Cricetulus griseus: one gene and its partner. The main gene of each other region encodes a partner of the protein of the gene in region 2 in a complex. Links are inferred from orthologs where the notes say so. Each region holds a gene or a part of one and is shown on either strand. Other genes may lie near its edges.

Region 1 (4,561 bases), on a different chromosome or scaffold from region 2:
AGAAAAACATACCCATACAAGAGTTACAGGTTGGGCTAGAGAAAAACAGCACAGTGGTGGAGCACCTATTGCTCCTTAGAGAATCTGCATTTGGTTTCCAGTGCCTCCGGCAGGTGGCACACAATTCACAACTCCAGCTCCACGGATCCAACACCCTCTTCTAGCCCTACTCAGACACTACATTCACAATATATTTTTTGGTTTTTCCAGACAGGGTTTCCTTAACAGTCCTGGCTATCCTGGAACTCAATGTAGGCCAAGCTGGCTTTGAACTTACAGAGATCTGCCTGCTGTGGTTAAAGGCACAAACCACCAGACCCAGCACATTACATGCAGGGAAGGCTGGAGAACTGGATTAGTTAAAAGGTTTCCAGCACCCATGTGGCATCTAACCACCTGTACCTCCAGCTCCAAGGGATCTAGTTCTTTCTGACCTTCATGGGTAACAGACACACGGTAGACATACATAGGCAAAAGGTGTTTTAAATTTAAAGAAAGTATTGCTCTTGGAGAGGAGCCAGAGTCAATTCCCAGCACTCATGTCAGGTGGGGACCGTCTGTCACCCCCCCAGCTCTGAAAGCACTGGCAATCACCCAGTAACAAAAGTTTGGTAATCTGCCGATGCCTGCAGCTTTCTATCAAATGTAGGGGTAAGTGAGGTGACACTGCTGGCCCCCTTTGCTTTATCTTTTTGAGATACTGTATGTAACTGGCTGTCCTAGAGCTTACTATGTAGACCAGGCTGGCTCTGAACTCACAAGTACTCCATCTGCCTCTGCCTCCCGAGTGCTGGAATTACAGGTGTGTACCACCATACCCATCACCTCTTAGCATCTTGATGCCCACTAAAATGAAAACCTGCTTTGCTGGAGTCCCCTGAACTTGATCTTGGCCAAAAGACCAAGAGGCAACTGCAAACTTATACACTACATGAATGAGCCAACAGGAAGCTGATGTGTTACGTGTTACGTGGCCAGGATCCCGGCAACCATGGTAAGGTGAGTCAGTTTGAGTCCAGTCTACACTACATGAACCCCTACATCAAAAAGCCAACAAAAGCAAGCCGCATGTGAACAGACCTGTCAGTGACAGGTTAAAGTGCCAGCAAGCTGCGGAGAGACGGAAGGAACCGTCCCAGGGCATGTGCTCAGCCTACAGAGCTCTGGTGACACTCGAGGCCTCTGGCCTGGGACTTACGATTTGATGATGTTCCCCAGAGTGTGGTCTTCTTTGTTGATGGTGAACAGGCAAGCATTGGGCACCTTTGTGTCCTTGTTAATGGTGATTCTACAATGAGACAGGCAAAGGCTGAGGGTGATAGCTTTCCCTGGCCCCACATCCAGCTCTTGTGATGCTGACACTGATTCTCAAATCGGTGTCCCCTTTGTGATCAAACATTCTAGAAACTGCAGTTGGGCTGTTCCCACTACCCCAGAAACAAAAACATCCAGCTCTTTCCCTCATACAAATTGGTTGTCTTAAACTAGCTCTTGACTAAATTCTTTCCTAGAAGACAGAAAACAGCTTGTCTCCAAACCCCCTAACAATTCAAGGGAGGCCATCATTCTGCAAGTCCCACTATCCCCAGTCTGCTCGCCCCAAAGGGCTCTCTGAGAGCTCTGGCATGGTTCAATGGGTCACCATTTATCTCAAATTTTTAAGGCTCTGGGTTTCATCCTACCACTCACTCCCCCTCCAAACAAAACAAGCAAGGTAGGCCTGCTGGGACTAGTCACTGGGACTAGTAATCCCAGTGACGGGGGCAGGAGGGCAGAGAAAAACACTGTCATCCTTGCCTTCCTTGACAGACCATGCTGGCTGACTCCTATCTACACTTCCACGTCCCTGGAGGAGCAATGAAGTAGGCACATTGCACAGCTTTGACACGGCTTCTGGAGATCCACACCAATCCTCAGCAAATGCTTTGAGCTGTGACCCACTGAGCCATCTCCCCAGCCTAGCAAATGTTGGGCAGGGGGAGCTGGAGTGAGCCAGGCAGTGGTGGAGCACACCTTTGATCCAGCGCTTGGGAGGCAGAGGCAGGAGGATCTCTGTGACTTCGAAGCCAGCCTGCACTACAGAGCGAGTTCCAGGACAGCCAGAGCAACACAGAGGAAACCCTGTTTTGAAAAACCAAAAGAAAACTACAAAAAAAAAAAAAAAGCTCGAGTGTAGCTTATTGATAGAGCAGTAACCTAGCATGGGCCAGACCCTGGGTCCAGTCCCCAGCATGACCAAAACAAAAAAACAAGGAACCTTCTCTACTCCGTGATGGCACCTTATCTATACACACCAAGGACCCTTTCCCACACAGGATTGCTCCTTTTTTCTTTTTCAGAACGGGATTTCTCTTGGTCCTGGAACTACCTCTATAGACCAGGCTGGCCTTGAACTCAGAGATCCGTCTGCCTGTGCCTCCTGAGTGCGTCATTAAACCGTCGAGTCCTGAAATTCTTTCTAGTGTTGAAGCCACGAACCTGAGTTTGGCCGAGATCCCTGAAAATCTAGAGGAAATCCTCAGGCTGCTGAGGAGTGTGAGAGGGTAGCTGTGTCTCGGTCCCTTCACCGCTACCATCATTATCCTCCTGCCTCAGTCGCCAAGTCCTGGAATCACAGGCGATCGCACCCTATGCAGGGGGGTGAGCTCTAAAGCCATCGCTGCGCAGCATGGATAATGGGGCTGCAGACCAGTGAAAAGGGAGCCTGACACTCTGAGTTCGAATACAGTCCCCGACACTTCCTAAGTGTCTGGAGCAAGGGCTCGACGTGCCCCGGCCTCAGTTTCCCCGCTGTAACACAGGCGTACATCGCACCACCGCCTGAAGTTCGGCAGACGCGCACGAAGCACAGTGCTCACCGCGCCAGAGCTAACGGCCTCCACTTACTTCTTCTCGCCCTCGAAGAGCAAGAACGACTCGAAGGCCGGAGGAGCGTTCATCCTAGAGGTGCGCTCCGGCTCCCAGACTCAAGCCGCAGCCGCCGTTACCACACTGAGCTCCGGACCGCGACCACTTCCGGGTCACGAGGACACAGCCAATCAAAGCCCCTGGCCCCGCGCCCCCTGGTGGACCGGATGACCTTCGGCAGGCACGAGCAGGCGAGGCGGAGCAGGTTAGAAATCCTGTCCAAACCCCAGGGGCAGCACCTCCCAGCACAGGAGGCAGAGCCAAGCGGATCTCTGTGGTTTCGAGGACAGCCTAGTCTACAGAGTGAGTGCCAGGATAGGCTTCAAAACAACACAGAGAAACCCTGTCTTGAAAACAAAACAAACAAAAAGAAAAAAAAAAAAGTGGCTTTCACCAGGCGGCTCTTTGGCGCATATTCCAGCGAGGGAAGGCTGGGCCACCTGCAACTGGCTCACTGAGCTGGAATCCAAGCTGTGTATGTGTATGAGCTGCTGCTGCAGGACCCCGGCTGGCTGGATGAGGAGCAGGAAGGTGTGTAAAAGTGACAGGGTGCCAGCGGATCCTCTGTTGGACACACAGGTAACCAAAAAACAATGACAGCCTGGCACCTCTCTGCTTTTCAGCCGTCTTTGTGGCTATTGTGGCTATTTTTCCTATTTTTAAAGATTTCTATCTGCCTGTCTGTGCAGAACGTACATACAGGAGCCTTTGGAGACCAGCCTTGGAGGTGCTGGGAACCCAACTCTAGTCCTGAAAGAGTAGTCAGTCTTTAACTGCTGAGCTATTTCTCCAGCCTCCATGATGGTTCATTTTGTCAACCTGATGAGATTTAGTATCATTGTGGAAACAGACAAGTGGGCCAGCAGGACAGTCCAGTGGGTAAAGATAGTGTCACCAAGCCTGACTACATGAGTTCAATCCCCAGGACCCATGTGGGAGAAGTTGAGAACCAATTCCTCTGACCTCCCTGTGTACACACAATGTATATACAAACAAAACAAAACAAAAACTTCTGAGTGTGTTGGTGAGATTCTAGACAGGTTTAACTGAGGAAGGAAGGACTCACCATTAAGGACTCACCATTAAGGACTCACCACGTGCATGATGCCATCCTAGAGGCTAAGCCCTCAGACTGAATAAAAGAGGAAAGGAAACCATCTTGTTCTGCTTCCTGGATGCAGGTGGCAATGTGATCAGCTGCCTGGCACTCCTGTTGCTATGACATCCCAACCCTTCCTGAGGATGCTTCTGTCGGGTTTGTAGACACAGCAACAGGAACAATAACTCAGTCTCCTAGTCTTTGGAGTAACAGGTATGAGCCAGCCTAGCCATTGGTACATGAGCACTAAAACTTCACTGTATAACATGGAAGATGGCAGTGCCACCAGGGGACAAGTGAAGACAATGCCAGGTGCCAGAGGGCTTTGGAACCCTTCAAACACCAATCACATCATGCTCCCCCTTGCTCTGCATATTGACTTGTTATCCCTGGAGTGTCTACCTAAGGACCATTGATACCTAGCCCAGCTCATCCTCCTTCAAGGCAGAAGGCACAAAGATAATGCAGGCATCTTCCTCGGCTTTTATGTCTCCTTTCAAACTCAGAAGAAGAAGGGGGAGGAAGAGCAGGAAGTCATCCAAGGTTCTCCAGTCA
Region 2 (4,406 bases):
CAGGCATGGATCCTCAGGCCCCACAGGAACACCCTTCTGTCTCCCTCTGCTGGATTCCATATGCTCTGGGCATCAGGAATGGAGGGTTTGGATTCTCAGTACCCAGGAACAAAGCTGGGCAATGCCACATGCATCTGAGGCCCCAGCAGGCAGGAACAGACAGGAGGGTACCTGGAACTCACTGGTCAGCAAGCCCAGGTTCAGTGGGATACCCTGACTCAGAAACTCATGAGGAAAGTCTGTGAGAGAGTGTTGCCTGCGAAGCCTTAGACTTCAAGACCCAGGCAGGTGAAAACTGACCCCTGAAAGCTGTTCTCTGATCTCCAAATTGTGTCCCACACTCATCTGTGGCCTAACATATGTCATCCAAATAATAATGTGCAAAGTAACTAAAGAAGACACCTGTTGTCAACCTCTGGCCCTGAGATGCACCACATGCCCACAAGTGCATGTGCACACACGAAATGTCACACACAAAAGGGACTCCAGGGAATGGGGCCCTTAGAAAGACCACAGAGACAGGCGGTGTCCACCAGGGGATAGCTCAGATGCAACCAGACAATATGGAGATATAGCATTTTAACATGGCACCCAGAATAGTGGACAGTTTAAAACTTTGGCCTTTAAAATTTCCTTATTTATTTTTTGGTTTTTCAAGACAGGGTTTCCCTGTAGACCAGGCTGGCCTCAAACTCACAGAGATCCACCTGCCTCTGACACCTAGTGCTGGGATTAGGATTAAAAGTGTGTGTGCCACCAGCGCCCGCCATACTTTGTCTTTGTTAAAGCATGGTCCAGGTATCCTAGTCTTCACTTGAGCTCACTTCATAGCCAAGGATAGTCTTCAATTTAAGAACCTATACCGCATGCCTGTGTTGGGATGATAGACACGTGCTACCAAGTCCAGCACACATGGGGTCCTACTTGGCCTGCTATATGCTAGTTGATGCTCCATTAACCAGCCACAACCCAGGCTTGCTTTTTTTTGAGACAGGATTTATGTAGTCAGACCACACCTCCAAATGGTTGGAACCACACATCTGCCAGGGTTGTAAGTGTAGCCGCCACCACTTCAAGAAAGTGATGACTGTAACCACCACCCAGTTAGGCCTCTGCCCCAGCCACCCAGAATTATAGACTTACCTGGTTCCAGGTAGCAAAGTTGACTTTATCAGCTGCATTAAAAGCCATTATGTTGTACTTTTTGGTTGTGTTCCTGGAATGGGCAAGAGAAAATTCAGTCTACTGATTAGTCATTCAAAAAATCCACCATGATTACACCCCTTGGTTGTAGGTAATTCTGGGAACTCATAAAAGCTCCAGAGCAGTGGTTTTCAACCTTCCTAAAGCTGCACCCTTTAAAACAGTTCCTCATGTTGGGGTGATCCCCAACCACACAATTATTTTCGTTACTACTTCCTAATTTTGCTACTGTTATGAATCATAATGTAAATATCTGTGTTTTCTAATGGTCTTAGGCTTAGACCATTGGTCTAATTAGACCAATGGTCCAATGGTCTTAGACCCTGTGAAAGGGTCATTTGAACCTAAGGGGTTACAACCCACAGGATGAGAACCACTGCTCCAGAGTTTGTTTAAGAAGCTAGATCAAAAATAAATAAATAAATAAATAAATAAAATAAAATGGATCCATCTCCTCCAACCCTATCAGAAGTTAGCCACACCCAGAAGCCCCAGCATGCTCACAGTGCATAACTATACATGCAGACAAAACATTTTTTTTTTTTGAGACAGGGTTTCTCTTTGTAGCTTTGGAGCCTATCCTGGCACTAGCTCTGGAGACCAGGCTGGCCTCGAACTCACAGAGATCCGCCTGCCTCTGCCTCCTGAGTGCTGGGATCAAAGGCGTGTGCCATCAACACCCGACTCAGACAAAACATTCTTACACATAAAGATAATAAAAGAAAAAGTGGGCCACCAGGCAGTGGTGGCAAGTGCCTTTAATCCCAGCACCTGAGGGAGAGGGGGGAGCAGAGGCATGCAGATCTCTGTGAGTTTGAGGCCAGCCTGGTCTACAGAGCAAGTTCCAGGACAGACTCCAAAGAAATACAGAGAAACCCTGTCTTGGGAAAAAGAGGAGATCAAGCAGGCAAGAGGCGGAGGTGTGTGAGGGTCTTGGTAGGTTTAAGGCCAGCCTGGTCAAATCAGCTAGAACTACATTACACAGTAAGACTGGTCTTCAAAATAAGAGAGGGCTGGGTATGGCTTAATGGTGGACTACTTGGCCTCGCATTCATCTAAGTTTGGGAATTTTTTTTTTTTTCGAGACAGGGTTTCTCTGTGTAGCCCTGGCTGTCCTGGAACGCGCTCTGGCTTCCAGGCTGGCTTCAAACTCCCAGAGATCCACCTCCCTCTGTCTCCCGGATTAAACGCAGCCACCGTGTGTGGCCTGAGCGTCTGAAAATAGGACAGAGTCATCGAGCCTGACATTAACTACGGTGTGACTGTTACTGTGACTTGCACGGAGCCACCACCGGGCCGAGGAGCGTGTGGTGGGTGTGGGTGACTTACTTGGGGACTCGGACGACATACTCGGTGACGTTCTGGCTGCCGGGGCTCTGCAGAGGAAGCACGGGTTTGTGAGGCGAGGAGAGGCCGTGGATCTGTCCTGCCACCCCCACCCCGCCTCTCCGTTTCATTCATACTCACTAGAGTCGCCATGGCCGTTGCTCAAGCGGTTCCGGGGCGGCGTGATCCGATGCTCTTCGTGGTATCCCTCGGTCCCGGGGAAGGCAACTTGCCCGGGAGTTACGTTGGTATGATCCTGTGTTTTGTGTCTCCAAACCCTTAAGTCTCAAGAAGACGTGACTCTGACCCGGAACTAGAACTGCCACACCGGGGTGGGAGCTACCTCAGCACTCACCTAGCTCAGGCGGTCTCCAGCCTCTGACTAGCGCTCTCGCCGCCAGCGCGAGTGATTTATTCACGGCGCGTGGGCACGCCCCTCGTGACGTCACGGCTCAGGCACCGCGGTGCATCCTGGGCAGGGTGGGAGTGGCGTCTTCTGGCGAGTGCGTCCTCGGCACTCCTGCGCATGCGCCAACGTGCCAGTGGCGGGTGCGGAGGCCGCGTTGCCATAGCAACCGCGGCCGGCTCCGCGAGAGGACTCTTGGGGCTCCGGGGGGGGGGGCGGGGGGCTGGGATTCCGTTTTCTGTGCCCCGGGTGCCGGGGGGAATTCCGGGCATCTTGCAAAAATGAGCCCCTTGTGACGTCGAGCGGAGCCAAGGGGTCGGGGCAGGTGGGAACCCGGCCCCCGCGTACTCCGGCATGCGGGCAACATGGGTCTGTGCCAGTCCACGCTGCCCCAGGTGGGCAGAACTTTGAGGACCCAGGAGAAGGGTAACGTGGTGGGGTGGTTGGCTTACGCGGGTGGCGGACGGGGCGTGGGAGCAGGTATCCCACCCACCGTGCGGGTGTGCTCACACTAACGCGGCAAGAACGCAGCTGCGCATGCCCTCTCCCCCCCAGTGGTGGATGCCTGCGGAATTACAGCTCTAGAGGAAGGGCTCAGAGAACGGGGGCCTGAGGGATGCATAGGAGTTGGTTAAGCAGAGGGACAAGGCAGGCACAAACCTTGAACCATAAACGGCTACTGACTTCCACGGTTGGTAGCAGAGACATTCATTTCTTCACCATCAAGGGCCATGCACCCTGGGTTACAGAGGCTGGCTAGGAGGACCAAAGCGAGCCGAAAGAGAGAAAGAACCATGGCTGACTATGGAATGCATGGGGGGAGGGGGGTCTGAGGCAGGGGGAGGACAAGCTGGGACGCTTGACCCCAGCACGGGGGGAGGTGTGACTGTAGACGTAAGCAGGTAGGTTAGACAGGACCACCGCATGCTGGACTGAGCAGGGTGCGGCTGCGTGAGTTTGAGGGCCTCTCCCTTTCATTATCTGTAAAATGGGGTGATGGAATTACAAGGGTGCTCCAAGGAGGTCTGTGCAAATGGCTCAAGAGAATCCCAGCACTGGGATCCTTCGATTCGAGACCAGGGCACCCTGAAGACACGCACTAGTACCCACTGTCTTCCATGAACACTACAGATGTCCTGAAGTCTCCCCTGATCATCTTCGTGGTGGGCGGCCCTGGCTGCGGGAAAGGGACACAGTGCAGAAACATGGCCACCAAGTACGGTTTCTGCCACGTGGGGCTGGGCCAGCTGCTGCGGGAGGAGGCTCAGAGGTGCACCCGGCGGGGTCAGCAGATCCGGGACATCATGCAGCAGGGACTCCTGGTGCCCACGGTGAGAGTTAAAGGGAGAGGGGGGCAAGACAACACAGAGTCAGTCCCCAGGAAGCCAGGGTGTCCTGGCCCAGGCACTGCCTTGTCATACCGACACTGTCATGAGAAGACTGTGATGTGGGAGCAGTTAAAGGCACCTGC

Evidence for each region.
Region 1: Gtf2f1 (region 2) and DNA-directed RNA polymerase II subunit RPB11-a share a complex: the UniProt entries of both Homo sapiens proteins name them as parts of the TBP-based Pol II pre-initiation complex. The link is inferred for Cricetulus griseus from reciprocal best matches to the Homo sapiens genes GTF2F1 and POLR2J.

Annotation. Positions count from the first base shown.
Region 1 is NC_048597.1:115,110,938-115,115,498, reverse strand, and holds the start of DNA-directed RNA polymerase II subunit RPB11-a, read right to left. Parts: upstream 3,044-4,561; 5' UTR 2,940-3,043; coding exon 2,887-2,939; intron 1,289-2,886; coding exon 1,199-1,288; intron 1-1,198. UniProt on the Homo sapiens protein: Core component of RNA polymerase II (Pol II), a DNA-dependent RNA polymerase which synthesizes mRNA precursors and many functional non-coding RNAs using the four ribonucleoside triphosphates as substrates.
Region 2 is NC_048598.1:96,546,312-96,550,717, reverse strand, and holds the start of Gtf2f1 (general transcription factor IIF subunit 1), read right to left. Parts: upstream 2,948-4,406; 5' UTR 2,683-2,947; coding exon 2,671-2,682; intron 2,586-2,670; exon of another isoform or gene 2,580-2,585; coding exon 2,533-2,579; intron 1,217-2,532; coding exon 1,144-1,216; intron 66-1,143; exon of another isoform or gene 61-65; coding exon of another isoform or gene 1-60. Other genes in the region: adenylate kinase isoenzyme 1-like, read left to right, coding at 3,301-3,361, 4,067-4,266. UniProt on the Homo sapiens protein: TFIIF is a general transcription initiation factor that binds to RNA polymerase II and helps to recruit it to the initiation complex in collaboration with TFIIB. It promotes transcription elongation.